Caenorhabditis elegans: one gene and its partners. The protein of the gene in region 1 purifies or fractionates together with the protein of each later gene. This does not show direct contact. Each region holds a gene or a part of one and is shown in the gene's direction. Other genes may lie near its edges. The genes, in order: rme-1, vet-1, dbd-8 and cas-1.

What was found.
Region 2: the proteins of rme-1 (region 1) and vet-1 purify together in Caenorhabditis elegans (affinity purification with western blotting, with the first as the bait; one study listed by BioGRID). This does not show direct contact.
Region 3: the proteins of rme-1 (region 1) and dbd-8 purify together in Caenorhabditis elegans (affinity purification with western blotting, with the first as the bait; one study listed by BioGRID). This does not show direct contact.
Region 4: the proteins of rme-1 (region 1) and cas-1 purify together in Caenorhabditis elegans (affinity purification with western blotting, with the first as the bait; one study listed by BioGRID). This does not show direct contact.

The regions. Positions count from the first base shown.
Region 1 is NC_003283.11:6,208,217-6,216,171, forward strand, and holds the start of rme-1 (Dynamin-type G domain-containing protein), read left to right. Parts: upstream 1-1,951; 5' UTR 1,952-2,059; coding exon 2,060-2,254; intron 2,255-2,470; coding exon 2,471-2,936; intron 2,937-3,705; coding exon of another isoform or gene 3,706-3,721; intron 3,722-5,499; exon of another isoform or gene 5,500-5,715; intron 5,716-6,601; exon of another isoform or gene 6,602-6,610; coding exon 6,611-6,793; intron 6,794-6,850; coding exon 6,851-7,190; intron 7,191-7,339; coding exon 7,340-7,955. Other genes in the region: W06H8.2 (NADH:flavin oxidoreductase/NADH oxidase N-terminal domain-containing protein), read left to right, coding at 1-264.
Region 2 is NC_003279.8:6,200,259-6,203,640, reverse strand, and holds vet-1 (Very Early Transcript), read left to right. Parts: upstream 1-1,564; 5' UTR 1,565-1,574; coding exon 1,575-1,681; intron 1,682-1,766; coding exon 1,767-2,616; 3' UTR 2,617-2,843; downstream 2,844-3,382.
Region 3 is NC_003280.10:13,106,056-13,110,709, forward strand, and holds dbd-8 (DB domain-containing protein), read left to right. Parts: upstream 1-1,963; 5' UTR 1,964-1,967; coding exon 1,968-2,150; intron 2,151-2,200; coding exon 2,201-2,323; intron 2,324-2,367; coding exon 2,368-3,450; intron 3,451-3,497; coding exon 3,498-3,632; intron 3,633-3,683; coding exon 3,684-3,938; 3' UTR 3,939-4,114; downstream 4,115-4,654. Other genes in the region: rict-1 (RICTOR_N domain-containing protein), read right to left, coding at 4,132-4,268.
Region 4 is NC_003284.9:16,806,931-16,814,719, reverse strand, and holds cas-1 (C-CAP/cofactor C-like domain-containing protein), read left to right. Parts: upstream 1-2,011; 5' UTR 2,012-2,803; coding exon 2,804-5,021; intron 5,022-5,121; coding exon 5,122-5,255; intron 5,256-5,393; coding exon 5,394-5,615; intron 5,616-5,709; coding exon 5,710-6,288; intron 6,289-6,352; coding exon 6,353-6,559; intron 6,560-6,770; coding exon 6,771-6,917; intron 6,918-6,962; coding exon 6,963-7,043; 3' UTR 7,044-7,265; downstream 7,266-7,789. Other genes in the region: Degenerin mec-4, read left to right, coding at 7,606-7,788.

The DNA.
Region 1 (7,955 bases):
CCTTCAGCTGTCTTCGATGCAATTGATCAAAGTGAATTTGTCCTCTCACTTCTTGCGAGCAACACTCAAATTGAACAAATGGGACGGAACTCGCTGAAAGAAGCAAACAATGATGTCACTTACGGACTCAGTGACTTCAGTGATGAAGATACTGTGAAAAGATTTGGAAAAGCAGTTGAAGAATTCGCCGAACTTTTGAAAATTCAAGCATCTCGAGGTGTCGCAATTCCAAATGTGATCACATTCGAAGGAGTGAAAGCATAAATTATGCATGTTTTTAATCTGTTTTTTTCAAAATAAATTTGTAGCGAGATACATAAATGTAAATAAATTATTGTTGATTTACTTGTTTCATACATCCATCATTTTTCATAAATCTGTCGAAGTTTCAGGTTAGGATTTATTTTCTTGTGTAAGGTGGGGAAATAATCTGGAATTCTTTTAGAAGAAACTGTCAAAAAAACCGTAAACTCGAAATTATTTGATTGAATCATAGAGCCATTCTACGGGAATATTGAATGAAACACAATTGATCAATGCATTGAAAAAATCCAATATTACGTCAATAGGATTTACATAAACAGCGTACAATTGACACTATCATCTACTGAAAAAACGAAGTTAAAACCTTCAAAAGTTTCCATTCACGACTGTCATTATTGTATAAAATGTATAATTTTTTCCGTACTGTTCCACGAGCTAATCGAAATGAAATTACGTTCTATCCAGATTATGAAGGTGAGAAATGACGTAGCTGTGCAAAATTTTTGAAGCTCTAATTTTGTTTGAAAATAATTGAAAGAGTTTTGATAATAGAGTTTTTTCTGAATTTTAACACCTACGCAACTATGATTTTGTCCATAATATTGGGAAAAATGTATACGAAATATGGGAATCCGCATCGATTTTTGTTTTGTTCGTTTGTGTGCCGCTTTTCGGAAGGCAGCCACATTTATGTTCAAACATTGACCGTTTTGTCGACGGGGATATCAAAATTGTTGGATTTCTTATAGTTTGTAGCAATATTTTATTTATTTTTAACAATATTTTGGTTAATTGTTTTTGTATTAATTTTATAATGATTAAGTTTTGGATTGATTCTTCTTGGTTTATCAGAAAGAAAGAAAACATCGTATGTTTGCGCATCCACTCAATTCAATGTTCGCTCACAAATGTGCCCATTTCTGTGCATTTGAAACGAATATTTTTGAACTACATATATAATTACTCGTAGAGCTCATTAAAGTTTTCAAGTGTACCACTTTTGGATATAATTCTTTGGGTGATAAAATTCACCTCGAACATTCAACCTTGGCACAAAAAATTCCTGAATTCACCTGATTTAATTAATTCATATCATTTTTTGTGATTTTTTATTAGGCCACGTTGCACAACTTTTTATGTGTATTGCTTAAGCACAACAAAAAATTTACACATCGTTTTATAATCAACTTTTAAAAATGTTGTTTTTCAGCTTTACATTCTAATCTTTGGTCATCTAAATTAACATTTTTCATTCAATGTGAATCATAATCTCTATTGAATCTCTCTTCTCACACTTGTTACATCCTATTTCATCAGAAAATCAGCTCTTTTCAAATTGAATATTCTCCCGCTTACCTTTAAATGATCTATTAATTTTTGACTCCACTCAAAACCTATGGGATGTCAACTTTGTCGACCAACAGTAACAGACGAAGATATCGATAAAACTCTGGTTATATTCCGTAAGAAAAGCACCAATCCCTTTGAAAAAACTTCTGAGAGATTCTCTTCAACAAACCCATTCGGAGGTGAAATTGGTGAGTCATTTCCTATTTTTAATTCTATTTGTATTTCATCATGTTCTGGAATGTTTCCTCCTGTTATCATTGTTCTCCTTATGCTTTTTTTTCTTTGCAAAGTGAATTGTCGCGAAATAAAAATTGATAACAAAAAAAGTGTGCGAAACTTGTCTCCGCCTCGCTTCTCTTCTTGACAGTTTTTTGCCTCGAAACTTGGAACATTTCATCGACTTTTTACTGGATCATTTCCTATTCCTCTTACAACAAAAGTATCGATGGAGTCTGTGAATAGTGAAGAACACAAAATAAACGAGGCACCCGCGCCACCCGTCATTGTCATTAATAGCTCCACGAAAGAAGAGCAGGAGGCAACACAAACCGACAGAATAGAAGGGCAAATGAAGAAAATCGATTCGGTCTTTGATGAGCAGAATGTAGCGTCATTGGAAGGTGTCAATTCAAAAAATGAGGTGGGTATTTCGTTTTACTTTTGATTAATTTATTTTTGGTATACACAAATTTTCATAATGTTTACATTTTCTCTCCAACCCTGTCACATTTGGTTTTAATTTTGCGTTTTTGCAAAAGGTCGGCTTCCACCAAAATGAAGCAGTAGCAAGAAATTTGTACTGTGCACTTTTAGGATTTTTTTTTCACCACTTTAAATAAATTGTAACGATTTTCAGATTTCCGGATCGGTATCAAGTTCCAGTTTTGAGGAGCTGAACGCAGAGACTGAAGATTTATCAGAAAGAAGTGAAGTCGAAAAAGACGAAGATCTAGGGAGAGTTGTTGAAGAACATAAAGAACCGGCACAAGTTCCAGTAGAATCGGAAACTCCGGAAACTTCTAAAAAAGAAATCCACCAAGAAGAAGAAATCTCTGAACTTGAGAAAGTTCCTGAAACAGTTGAAGAAGAAATTGAAGTCGTCAATACTTCCGTAGAAATTACTGAAGTAAAGAAGGAAGTGATCGAAGAAGTTAAGATCTCAGGCCTCAAAGAAGAAGAAACTCCGGTTCCAAAAATGAGAGCTCAGCAGCAAGTTCCAGTTGCTGCTGACAGGCCAATCAGGCGGCTTTCGATTGCAAGGGCATCTATGATGACCCCAAAAGCATCACCTAAACTTGCAAAGTATATGGAGCCGGTTAGAGGTAGATTTGTAGATTTTTGTTCATATAATGTTTTATGCGTCTACTTTTCTGCACTTTTTTAAACAACTAGTTGGAGTAATGTGGCTATCAAATTTAGTATTTTTCCTGCCAAATCCCAATGTCGATCTGCGATCGCAGTTCGAAAGTTTAAAACAACCTTTCCCTATTAGTATTGCACCCCACTATTTGACTTTGACAGATTATATAGGCAGAGGTTTTTTTCTGAATCTGAAGATGACAGTGCATATCAAAAAACCATTGCATCACTTTTCTTTGTTTTCATTCTGGAAAACGAAAGAACGCTTTTCAAAAGCATTTCCCAATGCCATTCCTTTTCTATTTGGAGTTTCTATCCTGCAGACACTTGCTATTCTTCCCACACAGTTCGATTTTCCATTGATTGAAAAAATTCCTGACAAATGGAACTTCAAACCTTTTTGCTTAAAGAGCTGCACTTTGCATTATTCTTTATCATTGTGAGCATCATTCGTTGACAGGTCACACTGATAAACATTTGGTCAGTGCCAATCAACGCATTTTCATACTCTCGCTATACAACTTTTCTTTCACATCCTCCCAGTACTGGAACACCATGTGCTCTGCTAACTTGTAAATAATTGTGTGCAAACTGTTTTATGTTTGCTCCGTTGAGAGGCAAAAGAGACAAGACCGCCCGTCATAGCGCGAGAACAAAACTTTTATAAGTATTACAAGAATTTTGACGTGACCAACTGATCGGTATCTGTTCTATTTTTTCGGGCATTTCGAAATGAGTAATCTTTTTGGTAAGTATGAACAGAAAATGATCATTTTTAGAAACTCTAACACCTAAATGGATAGCGTCCGAGTTTTTTGGAAAAGTTATAAAATTGATGATCAAGGTAAGGTTTTTAGGTTGTGAAACGGCAGACTTTTCAATCGCGTTATATTTTGATAATCTAGTTATGGCTTTCAAATCCAGAAGTTTCTGATAAAAGAACGAGAAAATCAAAAATTATTTTTAGCTCTACCTTCAAGTTTATATTTTTTGTATTTGACATTATATGATTTTCAATTTCACCTCAATTTCACGAGATATTAATCAAACGCTTGAAAGCTTGAATTTCTTGAAAATTTTCTTGTAAATCATCTCATATTCTCGTTCAAAAGGCAAACGAAACATGGTTTCCAGGTTCTATATGGTGTATTTTTTTCAAACATTTCAAGCTTTCTAGCTCCAACGTTCTATTTATATTTTGAAATTTTGATAAATTCTCCATTTTTTGAAAAATTCACACGGTCTAACGAGCTAATCATCATGCCGCAATCATCGCATCTTTCTTTTTCTTTTCTTCTTTTTTCTCTTCTTTTCGTTTCTTCCATCCCCCTACTCGAACAATTCAATGAAATAACAAATCGGTTACTTTATTTTGATTCAATTCTTTCCTCCTTCTACCAAATCGTCTCAAACATCGTCCGCTTGCGGTTGTCTCATTTTTCTTGATGCATGACCCCTGTGGAATCGATAGTGCACAAGCAGTTGCTAGAGTTCAGTGCTCCGTTGAAAGAGAAAGCGAGAGCATTCACGTTATATAAACTCAAACTAAACTTTTCTCTTCCGGCCTGCTTTCAATTTTATTTCTTCCAAAGAATTTTTGAGTTGGGTCTCTTGATTGATAGTGGTTTAGTTTTTGATTTTGACTACTGTATACCTATAGGTAATGCATTTGAAGTTTGTTATTTCCGGGTGATTTTCTTTAAAGTTTTTGACTTATTGTTAGATAGTTTTTCGGAATTTCAGTTACGATTCACACTCCAAACATGAAAAGTTGAATTAGTTCAACACAACTTTTACCTTTTCAATTTTCTATCTAGTGGAACAGGACACCGATTATACAGAAAATATTGTAGTTAGAGCAATTGAATTGTTATTGTGTTGAAATTGTATTATGTTATTTCTCAAGCAACCTCGTGATTTTACAACAAAATATTTTTATGTCGATTTCTAGTTGGAACGCAGAATACTACTATACGTCATTCTATTGATTGCATATTTTAATTATATTTAGTTACTAATTTCAATTTAATTTGACTAAATCTAACACAATTTGTCCTACTTATTCATCAGTTCCATGAAATTCCAAGCAAATATTGTGGTTTCATATTTACACTGCGACCATTTGATATATGCGCTGGTTTTCCAACAAAAACCATTCACAGCAAGCAATTCCGACAATGCTTTTTTTGTGTGTGTTCTCTTTTTTTCCCCATAAGATCTTTGCAGTTCGGCCGGTGGGTGATGGTGGTCAGTTCGCGTATTATTTTGACTTTTTCGTCTGCGGTCTACTTGGTCCTTAGACTCTCTTGTCTGGCTTTTGCGCAGTCTGTCGGTCGATCTATTTTCTCGATTCGACTACCTGATCCATTTCTAATTTTTCCTCTTTTTCTGTGATTCTTGATTTTTACGCTCTCTCGGCAATTTGTCATGTATAGAACGTCAACTATTGATGTGACCAGATGATTGTACTGTGTTCCCGATTTCATATAATTCATGAGCCTTTTAAGATGAATAAAACATTCCTCAAAGAATATGACTTCAGTCTCAAGCTTCTGATACTACATTGACCAGTTCCTAATGATCTTTAGCATTCTAATCACTCAATTAACATAAATTTTCTCAACCCATCTAATTTCAAAACCAATTGACGGTCTCTAATTGATGTTCTAAATGTTCTAATTTTCTATTGATATTTCCTGTTTGTTTTACGATCCTCCTCCCAGTTAGTGCATCATCATCAATAGGCCGCCACGTCATCTCTGCCCTCTCTGTGTCCATTCGCCTACATCTCTGTTCACACAGTGAATGAACACACTAGTCGTCTGTCAGTATCTGCGTCTCTTACCACATTTCGTGAAAGTCCCACTCTCTCACACCGCCTGATTGTTGGCTGGCGGCTATGATGACTCACTTGGTTTCAGTTCAACACGAGAATAGAGCCCCTATTTCGCAATTTCGATTTCTTTGGGTCTCACTGGGGGATTCTGAATTTAGTCATTCTATAAATTGGCCGGAAAATCTAGAAGAATTTTCAGTTTTTTCGAACTTAGGATGACGAAACTTGTATCACTTCAAGCTCGGTATTTTTCTGTAGATAACTTCTTTTTTTTTTCAGTGTTACATCAATTTAAAATTCAGAATTTATTAGGTTTTCTAACCAAAATATTGAGAATCTTCGTTTTTTTTTTGTTAAAGTAATGTCGTTTACTGTGTTTTTTTTTTTAGTTTTTCAATTCCAGCTGTACATATTTATTCACCACCACCACGGAAATCGAATTTCTGTTGAAAATTTACGTCAGATCTCGATTCATTTTATTTTTCTCAAACAAAAACTATTTTTAATATTAAAAATAACTTTTTATAACAAAAAACGAAAAATGGATGAGAGTAAGTCTAGGCCTGCAACTTTACTTTCTACAGTAACCTTAAGACGCATATACGAAACACATTTTGTTACTCGCTTGTTTTTGTTTTCCTCCCGCGAAATTTCCTTAATTTCTTGAAATATCTCACATGTTCCGTTCAATTTTCCGCCAATTCTCACCTCCTCAACATCTTGGTAAATTTTAAATAAATAAATTTAACATTAGTTTTAATCAAAATCTCATGATTTATTCTTAATTTTATCAGTTTTCAGAAGAAGGACAAAAGAAAAAGAAGACGAGAAGTATGTTTTCGTGGCTTGGTGGTGATTCGTCAAAAAAGAAGAACAAGGAAGTTTTGGAGACGGTTTCCGAAGGTCTCCGCAAGATTTACAAGCAGAAACTCCTGCCTCTTGAAGAATTCCACAAGTTTCACGACTTTCACAGCCCAGCTCTCGGTAATTTGAAATTATTTAGCATATTTATATTTTCAAAATAACGTTCCTTCTTTTCAGATGATCCGGATTTCGATGCCAAACCAATGATCCTGCTCGTCGGGCAATATTCGACCGGAAAAACGACTTTCATCCGTTACCTCCTCGAGTCCGATTTCCCAGGAATCCGAATCGGTCCAGAGCCAACCACCGACAGATTCATTGCTGTGATGCATGGTGATGAAGAAGGAAGCATTCCTGGAAATGCTCTTGTTGTTGACGCAAAGAAGCAGTTCCGTGCTCTGTCAGGATTCGGAAACGCATTTTTGAATCGATTCCAGTGCTCGACTCTTCCAAATCAAGTTCTCGAAAGTGTAACGATCGTTGATACACCTGGAATCTTATCCGGAGAAAAGCAAAGGTTTGTTTTAATTTTTAAATAATCGGAACACTACTTTCAAGGAGTTGTCCCCATTTGATGAAGCTCCAATAACTTATTTGTTTACAAAAACGAATGCTTGTTGGATCGAATTTCCACGATGCAAAAATAAAAATACTTTTTTATTCCAGAATCGATCGCGGATATGATTTCACTGGAGTTTTAGAGTGGTTCGCTGAACGTGTCGATCGTATCATTCTTCTTTTCGATGCTCACAAGCTTGACATTTCCGATGAGTTCAAGAGATGTATTGAAGCATTGGCTGGAAACGAGGATAAAATACGAATTGTTCTCAACAAGTCAGACATGGTTGATCATCAACAGTTGATGAGAGTCTACGGAGCTCTGATGTGGTCACTGGGAAAAGTATTCAAAACTCCAGAAGTTTCACGTGTCTATTTGGGATCATTCTGGGATCATCCACTTCACTACGATCTCAATCGTCGACTTTTCCAAGACGAGCAGCACGACCTGTTCCAAGATCTTCAAGCATTGCCACGTAACGCTGCTCTCCGAAAGTTGAACGATCTGATCAAGAGAGCTCGTCTCGCCAAGGTTCACGCATACATTATTGCTGAGCTTCGTAAGCAAATGCCATCGATGATCGGAAAGGATAAGAAGAAGAAGGATTTGATCCAAAATCTTGACAAGATCTACGAGCAACTCCAGAGAGAACACAATATATCTCCAGGAGACTTCCCAGATGTGAACAAGATGAGAGAGAAGCTTCAAACACAGGACTTTAGC
Region 2 (3,382 bases), on another chromosome or scaffold:
AATTGTCTGATAGTCAGATTTGCATGCCACATTTTGAAATCATATTCTTTTTATTTCTTAAGAAAGAAAAAAAAATTTAAGAACAACATGCAAGTATTTGTGTGTTGAAAACTAGGGTAAATCAAATGGAAGTGTTGGTAATATTGGCAAATGTCTGAATAACTTCTGTATTTAGGAATTACAACAAATATTGGTGGGATTTCGTTTGTATTTTTGGTTTCAATAGATCAATGAAGCTACTTAAGTGAACGATTTAAAATAATTAAATTTCAGCCGAGTGTCATCGTCAGTCTAGAGTACATTTTATGGATTTTAATTTTCACTTTAAGGATAAAGAGGTGCCACAGTTGACAATAAAACGGATTTAATCTGGATATCAATTCATGTTCGGACGCTGCGACCGCCAAATAAATATATTACGTTTTTAATACTTCAATTCAGTCTTTCCTTTGTCTCTTTTTAAATCCTAGTTTGAAGAGCCCCATACATATAAACTTAACTTCCATTAGCTATTTCATGGTTCTATAAATCTAGGGTACCAGTTTTTGTGACCTTATATTTTGGTACCTTCTCAATCTGCCGTTTCAGGGAGAGGGAGACAATAAGCAGACGATCTCATAGAGCCTTTCTGGATATCGATCCAAATCCAGACGCTGTAATGAACTACCTAACATTCACTCTCATTCATGTTGTTCTCAATTCATTCTTCTCATTTTATCCAGGTCCCATTCGGTACGTTTATTTTTTTGTTCTTATTTTGATTGTTTTAATTTTCTGAGATATCCCAGTTGCAGTCCTAGTAAGTAATTGTGTATTTGTATTAATTCCTTTAAAAAATCTTCAACCGAAGACGAAAAGAGAATAGAGCCCTCTATTTCAGAATACTGACATTTCTAGTGTAAATAAAATAGTGTAAAAAAGTATTACTTTGGTTTTTCATGTACCGGATTTTTCCTGATCGTATTGCACGTATATCTGATTTTAAATAGCTTATATGGCCTTCGAGACTGCTAGATTTTCAATTAAAAACTGGAATAGCATATTTATAGCCAAAATTAATTTTTGAAACTTGAAAGTGATAAAATTTTTTTACATCTTTGAATGTTAACATTTTTTTCTTTCTTAAGGTTTGAGTGGGATGAAAGATTGATAAAACCTGCGAGATTTGTATCGATGGTACTGAATTAACAATAGTGGGAGCTAGATTAATTGGAATTGGAAATTTAGTTTCTTTCAACGTTTACAAAATGCCCATTTTAGTATAGCCATAGATTTGGAGTCAACTACATTCTGAATGACTTCTCTCGATCCAATCAATATATTATGTTCTTCGACAGAAGATCACCATACAATGCAACGCTTTTCCAAAATTGTGAATATCGATCCATATTTGGACGCTGTAAATTCTCACCATCGTTCTCTCTCACTGTTTTTTCGATCCAATTACTCATTCTCACCTAACATTCTCAAAAGGTGCATCTTTCCTTTTTTCATTTATTTATTTGCTCTAGTATTTTCTACTGCAGTTTCACTAAACGTTTCTTTTCAATTAAATATTTTTCAGAACTGAAACTATGTTTGCTGAAAATCCATTCTTCACTCCCACCGAGTCCAAGTTGAAATCGGAGATCGCACTTCTTCAAATGAAATTGGATGACGAACGATTTGATCATCAGAAAACGTAAGTTGTTTGAACTCTAGGACAACGTGCAACCTGTTATATAGATTATATTGTACTAACCCATTCTTAATATGTTCAATTTCAGACGACGAGAGCTTGCCAATTCTCGACTTGAGATCTCTGATCTGAAAGGGGAAGCGAAGTGCCATGATTCGGAACTCAATCGTCTCTACACAATAATCAATAATTTGGAAAAGAAGGTTGAAGATTTGAATGGAGAACATCAAAAGTCATTGGAAAAATTGAAAGAACGTCTTCATGAAAAGGATGCTTTTATCGAGGCTTGTGAAGAATTCTATGATGAGAAGAAGATCAATGTGAACAAAATGACATTGATGAAACAAGAAATGGAATTGAAGAGAATCAAAAAGAACTTTGAAGAATACAAGGAAAGAATGACTGAAGTTGAGAAAAATTTGAACGAATTTATCAAAAGACAATCGGCCATTTGTATGGGAGTGAGATATGAATTGAATATGGAAAAGGATTCGAGAGAGAGATATTTCAAAGAAGCTCAACAATTGAAACAAGAGAAAGATGTATTGGTACATGAAATCAATGAAAGAGAAGTCAGAATTTTGTGTCTGAGAAGTGATATTCTTACATTGAAATCTGAAAACAACGACACCTCTAAGGAACTTGATGAAATGAAAAATGGAACCAAAGCTTTGAAACATGAACTTGAAGAGACCAAGAAAATGAAATCCGAAGCCTTGTCGAAATATGAAGAATCTCAAAAAGAGTTCGAACAGTTCAACTTGAAGTTCCAAAGATTGTGCACAAAGTTCTACGAGGAACGTGTCTCTTCTCAGACAACTTCACCTAAAATGAAAGAACATCTGGCATCTGCTAAGAAACGATTGTCTGCTATCAAGGAAACACTCCAAAATGAAGAAGATTTTGATGAAACCGGAGAAGTAACCAATTATCAATAATTTAATATCACCCAATTACTTTTTCCGTGTTAATTTTTCTTCTTTTAGCTACTATCGCTTTTTTAGCATTTTTTCGATTTGATACTATTGCTTTTACTTTACCATTTCCATTGCACTTTTTCGTTTGTTGTAATACGAAACAATACGGCTTAATTTTTCAACGCCTCGGCATTCTTTCAATCCATCTTAAAATGTTACTCTCTTAATTATTCAATAAATGTTTCATTAAATATCGGAATCACTTTTTAACGTGGATTTTTATAACCAAACAGGTGTACGAAAAGTTTACTATCAATTTTAAATAACAGGCAGAATCAGAGAACTTCACATCGAAACACAACATGAAAAGTAAAACACACGACTAGCGATAAAAACTGTTGGAAAAATCAATCAAATTCAAGAGGAATTTGAAAAGTACGTGCTGAAGGTGGTAGATTAGTGAAAGCTATTACAATATTTCCAACAATTGTGGTTTCATCTTCCATGTTCTTTTTTGAGTGAAATCGAGATGAGTTTTTTGAGAGAGTACTCTAGAATCTGTAAAAGTCGATGATGTAGCGAAAAAGTGCAAATATCATTTTTGCATGAAAAACTAAAACTGATTAGATAAGAAATGACAACAATGGTTAATGATGTTGACCTATGCTCTGCTTGTATACCGTGATTAGTGTCTTTGAAATCAATTCCATAAAATAAAATACGTGAGTGTGAGTTCAAATATACCATTAGAAGACAGTTCAGACCTAGAAAATGTTTTGCAACCAGT
Region 3 (4,654 bases), on another chromosome or scaffold:
TACATCCTTTTTCTTCACTGCTTCTCACCACAGGGATCCTCGGTTTCCGATCGAATAAACAGACGACACAGAGTGCTATGTGCATTGAGACGCGTGACAAGGCGGTGAATGACCCATTTAGCTTTCAGTTCGTTCACTGGTTTGTGAAACTGTTCATTTAATTCTTTCTTCCGAATCGCCTTACCCGTGGCCAATCAAAGCAGCGTGTCGAAATCTCGAAATCCAATCTTATAATAATTGGCCTTATCGTTTTTAGTTTCGCCTTCTTATACGCTAATAATTTCTCCAAGGCAGGTTTTTGTGTGTTGCCTTCACGCTTTCCCCGCCGACTATCCCGATTCACGGAGAGATCTCTAATTTCTGGAATTATGCAACAATAACATATGCGATGAATTGGCGGCAACGACGACGACGACGACGAAAAAAGAAGAAGCAGAAACGAAAAGGCAAAGAAGGAGGCGTGTTTCAATCCAAAAAGACACACACACACACACGGCTAAATGACATATAACATTGCGCAAAAAGCCGAGTCATACCATAGTTTTCTTCCCGATCCCCTCTTGCCATTTATTGCAGGAACATCTAGTTACCTACATTTTTCCTTCATTTTTTAGTAGAAATTACAAAGTTAGCATCTTTAGATATCTATAATTTCTCAATTTCTTTCTCATCTCATCTTACCAGGAAAGATTGTTAGAAACACTAGAGAATGTCTGGATTTGGAGCTTCTATCATGTCTAACGATACATTCGAAGTACCGAAAATCAGAATTTTCCTGAAATGTTTTGAAATGAAAAATCTCAATTTTGGCAGGCCTCAACAAAACTATTTCGAAAAACCAACAAGCTACAGTAACCCTGACAGCTAAGACCTCCAATTTAACTTCACCAAGATTCACCTTCTTAATAAATCCTCTAGATTCCAAGATATTCCGTGTTTGTGTATACACATCTTCAAGTATATCGTTATATTCCATACATACCACACAAAAATGATCAATCAGGGAGGCATCAGAATCAATCTGGATGACTCGGAACGAGTTTCTGGCTATTCTCTCTCTCGCTCGGTCATCTCCTATTCTCCTTTTTTTGGCGATTGATTCTATTTTGTCTTCGATTCCCTTGATTCCCTTCGGCGGGGGCTTCTCGTAGTCCTCAACAGGTTATCAATGCCATTCGAATATATCCTATTACAATCTCTTTTCCCCCCTTTCCGGATTCGGTAATTTTTTGAACTTCCGTTTGACGTGCAGAATGTGATAAGAAAATATACATATGTAATTTTGTAGATACTAGAACAGTATTGTAATTTCTAGTTGTGCTGTTACTACTAAATAGCACTTCCATGTAGAATGTTCTTTCTTATTCAAAAGTAACTGACTAATTCCCAAATAAATCCTTCCTGCCGTTCTCCAATATGTCGCAATACTAGCCTTCGATCATCCGTCTAAATCTCCTCTCGGATAATTAAAAAGTGTTTCGTCACCGTTTCGCCTTGTAGCTGTCCGTAGCTGGTGGTCAGTCGGGCGCGCACCTCAAGAAGAGAAGAAGCAAGAAAAAGAAGGGAGAGAGAGAGAGAATAAGCTTGCCCATAAGAAGCCGGTTATTCGACGCGATCGGCGTCATCGCGAACGAGGCGAGGCATCTCTATGTATGTGAGGAGGGGAGAGGCTAGTCGCCGACCTCAAGATGGTGAAGCAAACATAGACGACCGCTTCATCTTTATCCAATCCACAATGTTCGCTGTTTGTTCAACATTCCGCAGCCGCTTCTTCTCCGGACCCGCGCGCTCCGTTCCCAAAGCCATTTATCCGGGAATCGAGTAGATGTGTCGGGAGAGACACCGCAATGTAGATTTCCTCCGTTTCAATCGCCTTCAAATAACTTTCACCTCCTTCTGAATTCTTTTCACTTTATTTTCCCTTCGACCCTTTTGACCGAATCAACTTTTTGAAACGTTTCAGACCGATGGCAATGTCGGTTTCGACGATACGTGCCATTTGTATTTTGCTGCTTCTATCAACGTATACATTGGCAGATCTTCCGTCATGTGCTCGTGCCAAATGTGTTCATTGTGCAGTTGACTTCATCGATAGAATGTGTCCAACAGCTTGTGCTGGATGCAAGACACAGCAGCACCAATCTATTCAGGTAGGGATTTTGGGTTACATTTTGCTTGAATTCGAATTCTGACATTTCAGGAAGTAAATGTACAGAGACCACCTCAGCCACCACCAGCGTTCAATAATCAGCCACAGTTCGCACAATCAGTGAATACTCGCCAGATCTCAAACGAGGGAGGGCCACAGGTTCAGAGACCACAGGTGGGATTTTGAATTGAAAAAAAAATTTATTAAAAAGTATTTAGGTTCAGCACCAGCAACAATTCCAGCAACAGGTTCAGGCTCAACATCAACAACAACAGCCACAATTCAACATCCCACTGCAGCCACATGCTCAGCCAGTTCAATTCGCTGCTCCAAACTATCAAGGAAACCAGATCCCGTACCCACAAGCACAGGCTCCAGCTCAAATTCAAACCGCCACTCTTGCTCCACTAGTCGAGGCACCAAAGGTCGCATCTTTCGATCCAAACTTGAGCCGTCAACCAGCCGATTTGGCACAGCCACTTCCAGAATACCAAACCGGGCAAGTACAGTACCCACAACAAGCCGCTCAAATTCCATTCGGCCAACAGCCACAGCAAGGATATGGGCAACAAGTTGATAATATTTTCAACCAACCGAATCCATTCCAACTCCCGACTCCACAACAAGGACAAGGACTATTCGGAGCTCCAGGAGCCGCTGGAGCCGCTGGAGCACAATCACAATCGCAGGCTGCAGCTTTCAATCCATTCCAACAATTCTTGCAGCCAAATGCAGCACTCGATCCATTCAACCTTTTCAACTTGAACGCTAATCCATTGACTGTTAACCAGCAAGGCATCAGCACTCTTCAGACCCAGCAGCAGCAATACGGACAGGTACAGCATCAGGGAAATTACAACAGTCAAAATTATAACCAACAACAACCGCAGCAACCACAAATCCCGCAACTTCCACAACAACAGCAGCAGTACAATCAGCAATACAATCAGCAGTTCAACCCACCATATCAGCAGTTCCAACAACCACAACAGCAGCAGTACAACCAACAGCAGCAGCAGCAGACACCACAACAAAACCAATACAATCAACAGCAACAATACGGACAGCAGCCACAGCAGCCCCAACAACCACACCAACAGCAGTACCAGAATCAGAACAACTATCTGCCACAGCCGCAGCAACCACAACTCCCAGTTGCTCCACAACAACAGGTACAGCAGCAACGTCCACAGCAGCCACTACCACAGCCAGCCGCTGCAGCTTCAGTTGACTCTAGACCAGTCAACTTTGAGAAGTATATCGATGCAGGAAAGGGAACTCCACTTGCTCCACCACCACAGGTAAAATATTTCCGCAATTGTGATCAGCTTAATATTTGTTCATTCAGGCCCAATGTCCACGCCAACCAGGATGGCAGCCATGCATCACTAAGGACACCGCCAATGATCGATTCCGCAACTGCTGTTCTCGTCTCGGAGAGGGATGTGCTCCACTTTGTAACTACGATGCTACCCTTGCTACTGTATGTCTCTATAATGATTTTTTTGCTATCTAGAACTGTTTTCCATTTCAGATGCAACTCGCTGTTCTCACTGGACGCTGTCCATTGGCTAAGGTCGGAGACGTGATGATCTGCGCTTCGGGCTACCAAGACGCATCCCAGTGTTGCGAGGCTTACGGAGTCTTCGAGCCAGGATACGAGCACTGCCGTCCATACTGTAACCCATCGGCCGGTCTTCCAGAAGGCGGACTTCTTACCGAGAAGTACAAGTGTCTCGTCAAACTGTCACACATTCAACAATGCTTCTTCGTCTCGCAGAAGCCATAAGGTGTCAACGGGTGATCCATATGTATTGCAATTTAAACCACATCAATAATAATAATTTTTCTCTCTTCTCACTCATTCCCTCATCTACAACTTTCCTGAATTCGTGCAATAGATTTCAAAAATTCAATTCTAAAATGTGGCACAGTGTGCCATCACAATAAATGATTTTAAATATTAAGAGAAAGAAGCTTACATGTGCAAAACTCCAGCATTCGTCAAAATCGATAATCCTTTACTCGTCATTGTGAACGTTCCGATTATGGCGAAATGAAGCATCGAGTTGGTGTAGGAAAGGTTGCGAGCAGCAAAGTAGGCATTCGGATTGGATCTCTGAAATATATTACACATTTTATAAATATATTTTAATAAATGTCTTCTATATTTTTGCAATCCTACGGCACGATGTCGATGGACAATTTTTAAAATTGGATATGTTTCAAGTAAAAATCGATGAATTAATTGTTGCAAAACAACAAATTAATAAAAAATAACATAAAAAATAAGAAATATTTTGTTACGTTTGAATGTTAGATACAAAAATAATCCGCAAAAATAGTCTCAAACCAGCGATTTCAGCTTTAAAAAACTGTAAAATCCCGCTTGTCCGTGTGTAGTACAAAACGCTTTGTAAATCGACATGTAAAAATCCTGATTTTGTACTACACGTGGAAAGCCGAAAACTTATTTTCTTCTCGCATGATTCTACATGATTCTGG
Region 4 (7,789 bases), on another chromosome or scaffold:
ATTGCATTTTTTCACATTTACCAGCGAATTTGGACAAATTTGTATTTTTCAAAGCGTGCTCCTTTTTTATCACGTGTTTTCATTTTATTTTAAATCCAGTTAATAATAAAAATGAGCAAGACGTGTTGCCAATTTTTTTGAAATTAATGCTATCATGATTGGTGAATTTTCAATCTGATTTTAAAAAGTACCACTATAACAATCATGAGATAATGTTAAAATTTGTAGACATTATACAAAAATTGTATTTTGGATAAATAAGTAAACATTCGTATACGTCATTTAGTTTTTCGAAAGTTTCATGAGAGCCCGTCCAATTTGAACATTGAAATTTAAAATATCATTTAATTTTCCCAAACTTTTAAATTAAATGTTTCCAATTCCAAAAGTTTCCAAAAGACCAGAATTTTTTTACAGTTTTCTAGAAAATCTCTCCCAAAATCCATCACATTTTCTACCAATTCGCATCCCATCTTTGTTTACACTGCGCAACGGAACGGATCGGCGGGAGGTGTACAGCAAGCGCGCTCTAATGAGAACGGAAGATGGCGGCAGTTGTCATTTACTGTGCAAGGCGGTCCGCGCAACACATCCCGGTGACTCATCACTTTTTTCTCAATTTCTTTATGATTTCCATTCATTTTCCTCTTGTTTTCTGCTGACAATCGCCTTTTCTCTGTTCGATGTTTTGAAATTATTGCGAAATCGGGCCGCCATTTATTTTTTTTCTTTGTTCGCGGTTATTTTTCGCTTTTTGAACCAAAAGAAAAGAAAAACTACCAATTCATTAATTTCAAACAAAAAATGGAACAAATTCTCCTTTACTCTCATTCCGCTTGCTCTCGGAAATGGCAAATTTGCGAATTTAAAATGCATCGGAAATCGGATACCTCTGTATTCGAAGGAATTATAAGTAACTCGTACTTTTGCCGGTTCCTATCGATTCTGTCTCTCTCACCTGCTCTTTCTTACTATGAACTTGCTCTGTTTCTCATCGAATGATAAGGTTTTCTACATATTTTTGATTACAATTGTTCTTAAATTTCATAATGTCAATTTCCAGGACATGTCAACACAAGAGGATTTTTTGAAGCGTCTCGAGAGCGTGACTAGCCGTTTGGAAGCGATTGCCGGGCAGAAACCAGCATTGGCTCCGAAGCCTACCAATTTGGGCGGACCAAGTGGTGAGTTAATTGATCAAATACCAGACAACCTTTCTCTGAGAAGAAAGTGTGTTATAATAATAAGAATAAAATAATCAAAAACCGAACTGTTTACTCAAAAACTTATGACTAACATCGACAAATGGGAAACGTTGGTGTGTGTGTTTGTGTGTGTTCATTCTGCCTTTCTTCCCACATCTATACCCCCCGCTTTTGGTATTATCATGAAGTTACACGTGACCTATCAGGAAGTCACAAACGAATTTGTTTCTGCTGCTGGTGCATATTCTACGGCGGGTAGAGTCAGGAACATTCCTATTCGCATCATATGTGAGTTTTGTGACCGTTGACATTTACAGCTACCGTCAGTTTGGCTACCGCTTCCTGTTTGTCTGTCTCGTTGCGGCCTACCAATTAATGAAATAATATTAGTAATAAGATTTTTTTCACAATAATAATAATAGTGTACTGAAAAATTCTCAGTGCTCAGCAGTAATCTATCATTCTGAAATTAGTACACTTTGAATTTTCTGAATAGACCCTGAAATGCATTTCAATTTCGAAAATTCTAGGATTTGCTAAAAAGTAATCTACAACCTTGTAATCTACAAGTTTTTATGTATAATAGTAATCTTTATACAGATTAGAATAGCTCCCTATAGTTCGCACTCTTCACAGATTTGTTTCCGCTAGTCAAAATACCTGATCATTGGTCCCTCGGAGCTTTCTAGATTTTGTGTACCTGAAAAATCGGGTTGTCAATATTTTTGTTTTGAAAAAAGTAAGATGAGAAGTTGAGAACCGCAGCGTGCAATTCCACAGTAGAGGTTTCAAAACATATCTGTCTGTTTTTTGCTAAGCTTTTGACATTTTTTTCAAATAAAAACTGGCTTGGTAATTTTAAAATCATAAGCTTTAGTTTTATAAAGTATGTTGTTTCTGCCAACTTTGTCAGGCAATGCTTGTCTACCTTCTATTAAAAATAAGTCTATACCTCATTAGAAAGTGTTCCTATAGCTGACTTCTAGGCCGTCACTTCACATAACCGGATGTTCTAATGATAATGAAGCACACATATTTAATGTGGTTGAACCCCCGTGTCCGATGGTACTTGCTTGGACCAGTTCGTGTTGTGGACGCCAGCTTGACTTGCAGTGCACAAGTTATCAATTCTTATCCTCCCTCTGGCGCCAGAAGAAGAACCGTCAATCCGCATCTCTTCGCAAAGTGTTTTACAGCAAACGAGTGTGTGCGAGAGTGAGAGGGAAGTCATTTTTCTGTTCATCCCGGTGGGGACTTGTCTCTCAACAGCTCGCATGCTCTTTCCATCTTTTCACTTCAGTCGACGCGGACCCGGGAGCCCCGTTCAACAGTTGCTTTTGTGCTTCAGCCTTTACTCGTCCGTGTTTCCTCACCCGTCTAACCTCTGCGTCCTCGTCCTGTTTCTAGGCTTTCCCCTCACCGGCAACTCACCCACCAGCCGTCATTCTTCTTGTGCCCTCGAATCTTAACAATATTTCTTCTTTTACCCATTTCTCATCCGCACATTCATCCCCAAACACCTTAATGTTCTAGCATACTCTCTTCATTTTTTTTTTGCATTGCAATTTTATTTCTCCTCGTCTCCCCCCACTTCCACTATGGATTCACTTTATTACTCGGCTCCCAGACCCTTCAACAAGTATCCACGTGGCTACAGACCGGTAACCGATAGTACCCAAGATTTGAGAAGTTTCGGAGGCGGACTACGTCCGTCAAGCAGTTGGTCGTCGTTCCCTCAACAAGTTGTCATTGACCAGCGGTCAGCGACCCTTCCACATTTTCCATCCTCATGCGTTTCGCCCGTTTCTCCAACATCCCCTGTCGACCGCAATACTAATTATTGGACAGCTGAAGAACCTCCAAGATCTCGTCGGCCAATACGATCGGAAAGCAATTCTACTCTATTCGACAATAACTTCTCTCCACGTGAGCTATCTCCTTTGTCAGTGGCCAGTGAGTACTGTAACAATCCTCAACCAGCAAGTATGTACGGTCATCGAAGTGTCCAAAGTCCAGTTCCAGCATTTCAAGATGCTCCACCCCGAGGTTATGACAATGTGCCACCACCCCAATCATACAAGCAGCCGACGCATCCGTCGCCTTCCCAACGAGAAACAGATTTTTTGAGAAATCTGCAACGTCAGAAAGCCGAAGCACACAATATGTCTTCGAGCTGGTATGCAGGGGATCAGTCGTCTCGTCAGACAGATTTTGGCACTCTTCCGTCTCCACAACACTATAATTCTAATTCATCGGATCACCATCCGCCAAGACGATTAGCAAAAACCCAATCGGATTTGTCGTTTGACTCTCTCAACAACACTTATTTCAATAACACCTCAAATCATACTCCAAGTAACACCTTCCTCAATCATTCTACTGTTGATAGTCATAATAATAGCTCTGGTCAACTTCATAATTCTATTAATAACTACACGGCAAGCACGAATGGTAATCAAGGTCATCGATTGGATGGATTTTTCCGAAACCGAGTGATTGAGCCAAACTGGATGACTGACCCACCACCGCCAAAATCGTTCCGGGAGGATTACATTATCAGAAATGCACCTCTCAATTCAAATTTGAACTCGGATTTTGAACGCTTTCGGTTAGAGCCTACTTATCGTGAGCCTAGAGGTAATTCCTTGGTGTCTGAGCAACCCAACTTTCGGAGCTATCACAACGATGAACCGACTCAGGAACAGCCTAATCCTCGGTATCAACGCTCTTCGTCCAATTTCATGCAACAACGAGATCCGAGCCCTGTAAGATCGCCTCCAATCATCTCATATGCCCAACAATCGAATCCTTTTTCGTTCCCAAACCCGATAAATCAAGTCAACTATAACCAAGAAGATCATTCATCAAGAGTATCAACAGGCGGGTATCAAGACCGGCGAGTGGCACAAGCGCCGAAAGAAGCAACAACAAATGTCTACCAGAATGTTCCAGCCGCAGCAGCGGTAAATTTCCGAGAGAAAGAGCGGCCAACCAGTCAGTATTTGGAGTCGAATCGTAATTCGGCAGCGTTCCCTAATGAACCAATAAAATTGACAAATGATCGTGTACTCCGGATTCATCCTCATCAGCAGGTACAAGACCAATATCATCATCATCAAATGCCCGAAGAGCCCCATTATCCCCAGCCACATCAGCCCATTCAACAATCTCAACGTGCTAGGATTCAATCACCACTTCGTGATTTCGCCAGACTCACTTCCCCAATTCGTGAGGTTGCCCCTCAACCATATCATCCGCCACAGGCGCAGAATCAAAATCAGAATCCAGAGCGAATTTTCAGTCCAGTTGAGTCAAAAGTGTTTAATCGATCGGGTCCAACTGTAATTAATGGCTTCACGAGTAACCGTCACACGTATAATAGTCACACCGATGATTTCGATTCGAGAAATCGACGTGACTCGTCTCAACCACCAGTGGCTATCATTGAGCCGAATATCAATGTTCACATGCCATCCGACCCGATGCCATACAACAAACCTCATTTCGGACATGGTCACGGGCATAGCAACGGGAATAATAATGTACATTCGGTGAAACCAACATCTCACTACTCAAACCCAACGTTTTCACCGACTTCAACTTTTTCACCAAATTCGAACTACGACAACGATAACGACAGTGATCTGGATATTGAGGAAATGGCACGTCGTGCGCTTCCGAGGTATCTACGAGACAATGAAAAAACGGGACGACACAGAAACTTATACGGCGACAATTTGCACGGGATTCTTATCAAAAATCCGTCACTTCATCGGAGTTCTTCAAAGAAAGTTGTATTTATAGATCAGAATAAAGGTAAAACTTAGTAAATTGTAAATTCAAAACTAAAAATTCTAGAAATAAGCAAACCGGTTCGATACTTTTGAATTAATTAAAATAAAGTTAATGTTTTCAGCGTCTGCTGCCGCTTCTGCCGGTGACTCTGGAGAAGTCCCAGCTCATGTTCGTGCTTACGATGATGCCATCGAGGAGCCACTGGCCAATTGGAGCAAGTTGACAGATCAACTCGGCGGCGATCTTGCTGCTGTGGTGAGTGTTCAAATGATGTTTTGTATTGATTAAAACAAAAATAAATAAAAAATTGCACTAATCTATTATAATTCCTTATCTTTATCCAAATTACCCAACATAGAATAAGAGTTTAACATCGTAAAACAAATATTTCAGAAGCCAAAAGTGTTGGCTATGTTTGCCAGTATGCGCAACTATTTATGGTCTGCTGCTGGAAAATCGGAGCCATCGGCCGAGGAAGCTCAGAAGATGCTCACTCCAGTTATTAACTTGCTTGGTGAAATCAACAATTTCAAGGACACGAAGAGAAAGACCCCTCACTGGAACCATCTCAATTCGGTGGCTGAAGCACTTCCGGCTCTTGGATGGGTGACCGTGGTATGTTAACATTCAAAAGTTGAAATAAAATATTACTGTGCTCAAGATTCGATAATCTTAACATACATATTTTCTAAACTGCTTCTAATTTCAGAAGAAAACCCCAGCTCCATACGTGAAGGAGTTCATTGAGGCTGCTCAATTCTACATCAACCCAATTCTCCGCGAGTTCAAGGAGACCGATCCAAGACACGTTGAGTGGACCAAGGCTTGGAAGGCTGTATTTGAAGAGATGCAGAAGTTTGTTCGTCAAGTTCACACTACTGGTCTAGTCTGGAACAGCGCTCCAGGAGCCGCCCCTGATGCTTCTGCCTCTGCTCCATCTGCCGCTGCTCCATCAGCTCCAAAAGCTCCAGCAGGTCCAGGAGGACCACCCCCACCACCTCCACCACCACCAGCCGACTTCTTCGCCAACATTGCTCCGCCACCAGTAGATGCTGACAAGGCAAGCCGTGATGCTCTCTTTGCTTCGTTGAACCAGGGAGAGGGAGTTACTTCTAGACTGAAGAAGGTCACGGCCGATATGCAGACTCACAAGAACCCAAACCTCCGAGGAACCGCTGTTGTGCCAGCCGCTGGTGCTTCTCAGGGCGGCTCATCTCCTGCCAAACCAGCTGCTCCAGTAAGGAAGCCACCACACAAGGAGCTGGAAAACGGAAAACAATGGATTGTGGTAAGTGTTTCAACAACTTGAAAAACATATTCAATAAGCATTATCAATGAAAAACTATTTACAGGAGTACTTTGTCAACGATCCAAACATTGTTCTCGATGTTGCCGATAAGAAGCAGACTGTCTATATCTACCGTTGTGAGAATTCTGTGATTAAGGTCAACGGAAAGGCCAATTCTATTACTTTGGACGGGTGCAAGAAAACGTCTGTTGTGTTTGATGCCCTTGTGGCTCAGTGCGAAACTGTCAACTGCCAATCTGTGCAAATTCAGGTAATCAGAAGACTTTTAGTTGTACAAGCTTCAATACAAGCTCAAATACAATACTATTTTTTTTCCGTCTGAACATAAAATTAGTTTCTAAATAAAAAATGTGAAAATAAATATTTGGTTTTAATCGTTAAAATCTTCCAAATTACTAATAAAGTTCAGTCAACTATATGCTTCGAAATTCACTGAATCTATTATTGTTATTAATTTTTAGACCCTTGGAGAGCTCCCAACTCTTTCAATCCAGAAGACTGATGGATGCCAGGTGTACTTGTCAAAGGTGGCTCAAGGATGCGAGATTGTCACTTCCAAATCCAGTGAGATGAACATCTCCGTGCAAACCAATGATGATGGGGATTATGTAAGTTTTTCGGATTGTAGAACCCAATCTAAATTTCCTTTTCAGTCGGAGTTCCCGGTTCCGGAGCAGTTCAAGACAACTTTTGTCAATGGCAAGCTAGTCACTGTCGTCTCGGACATTTGCTAAATCTTCTCACGTCATAACCTTATTTTTCAACTTCATGAACTATCCCCTCGAACTTTTTTATTTGTCCCTGTCTACAATTCTTTATAAGCAATTGAGACACACTTTGCTTTATTAAATAATACCGATTTTGTTTTGTATATGCATTGACTGGTGCTCAACTATTTTTATTGAAAAAATTACTTTTTACTGTCTCGTCGAATAAAAGTGATCCCTTCCAAAAAATAGTTATTCATGTTTGAAGGTTTGTGATCGTAGAACAATTGCACCGAATGTAGTGTAAAAAAAATTCCAGAATGTTCAAATACATTTCCACCCTCACCAGAACATCTCAAACACCAGGCACATTTCAACACACTTTCATGGATCTTATCTTGCCTCAAAACCATCAGCTTTCTTCTCATTCTACAAGTATGAAACAATCTACTATTCTATACATTTATAATGTAATGGAACCATGTGAAGACATGAGCAAGATCATTGTCGTCAGCGACTACCCCTCCTTCATTTTTCTTAGAGTATCAGTTTGCTAATGCTATTTTTTTTATCGCTATCAAGTTATAGAATGTCATGGATGCAAAACCTGAAAAACTACCAACACCTTCGGGACCCATCCGAGTACATGTCCCAGGTTTATGGAGACCCGTTAGCGTACTTACAAGAGACGACTAAATTTGTGACAGAAAGAGAATATTATGAAGATTTTGGTTATGGCGAATGTTTCAACTCTACAGAATCAGAAGTACAAG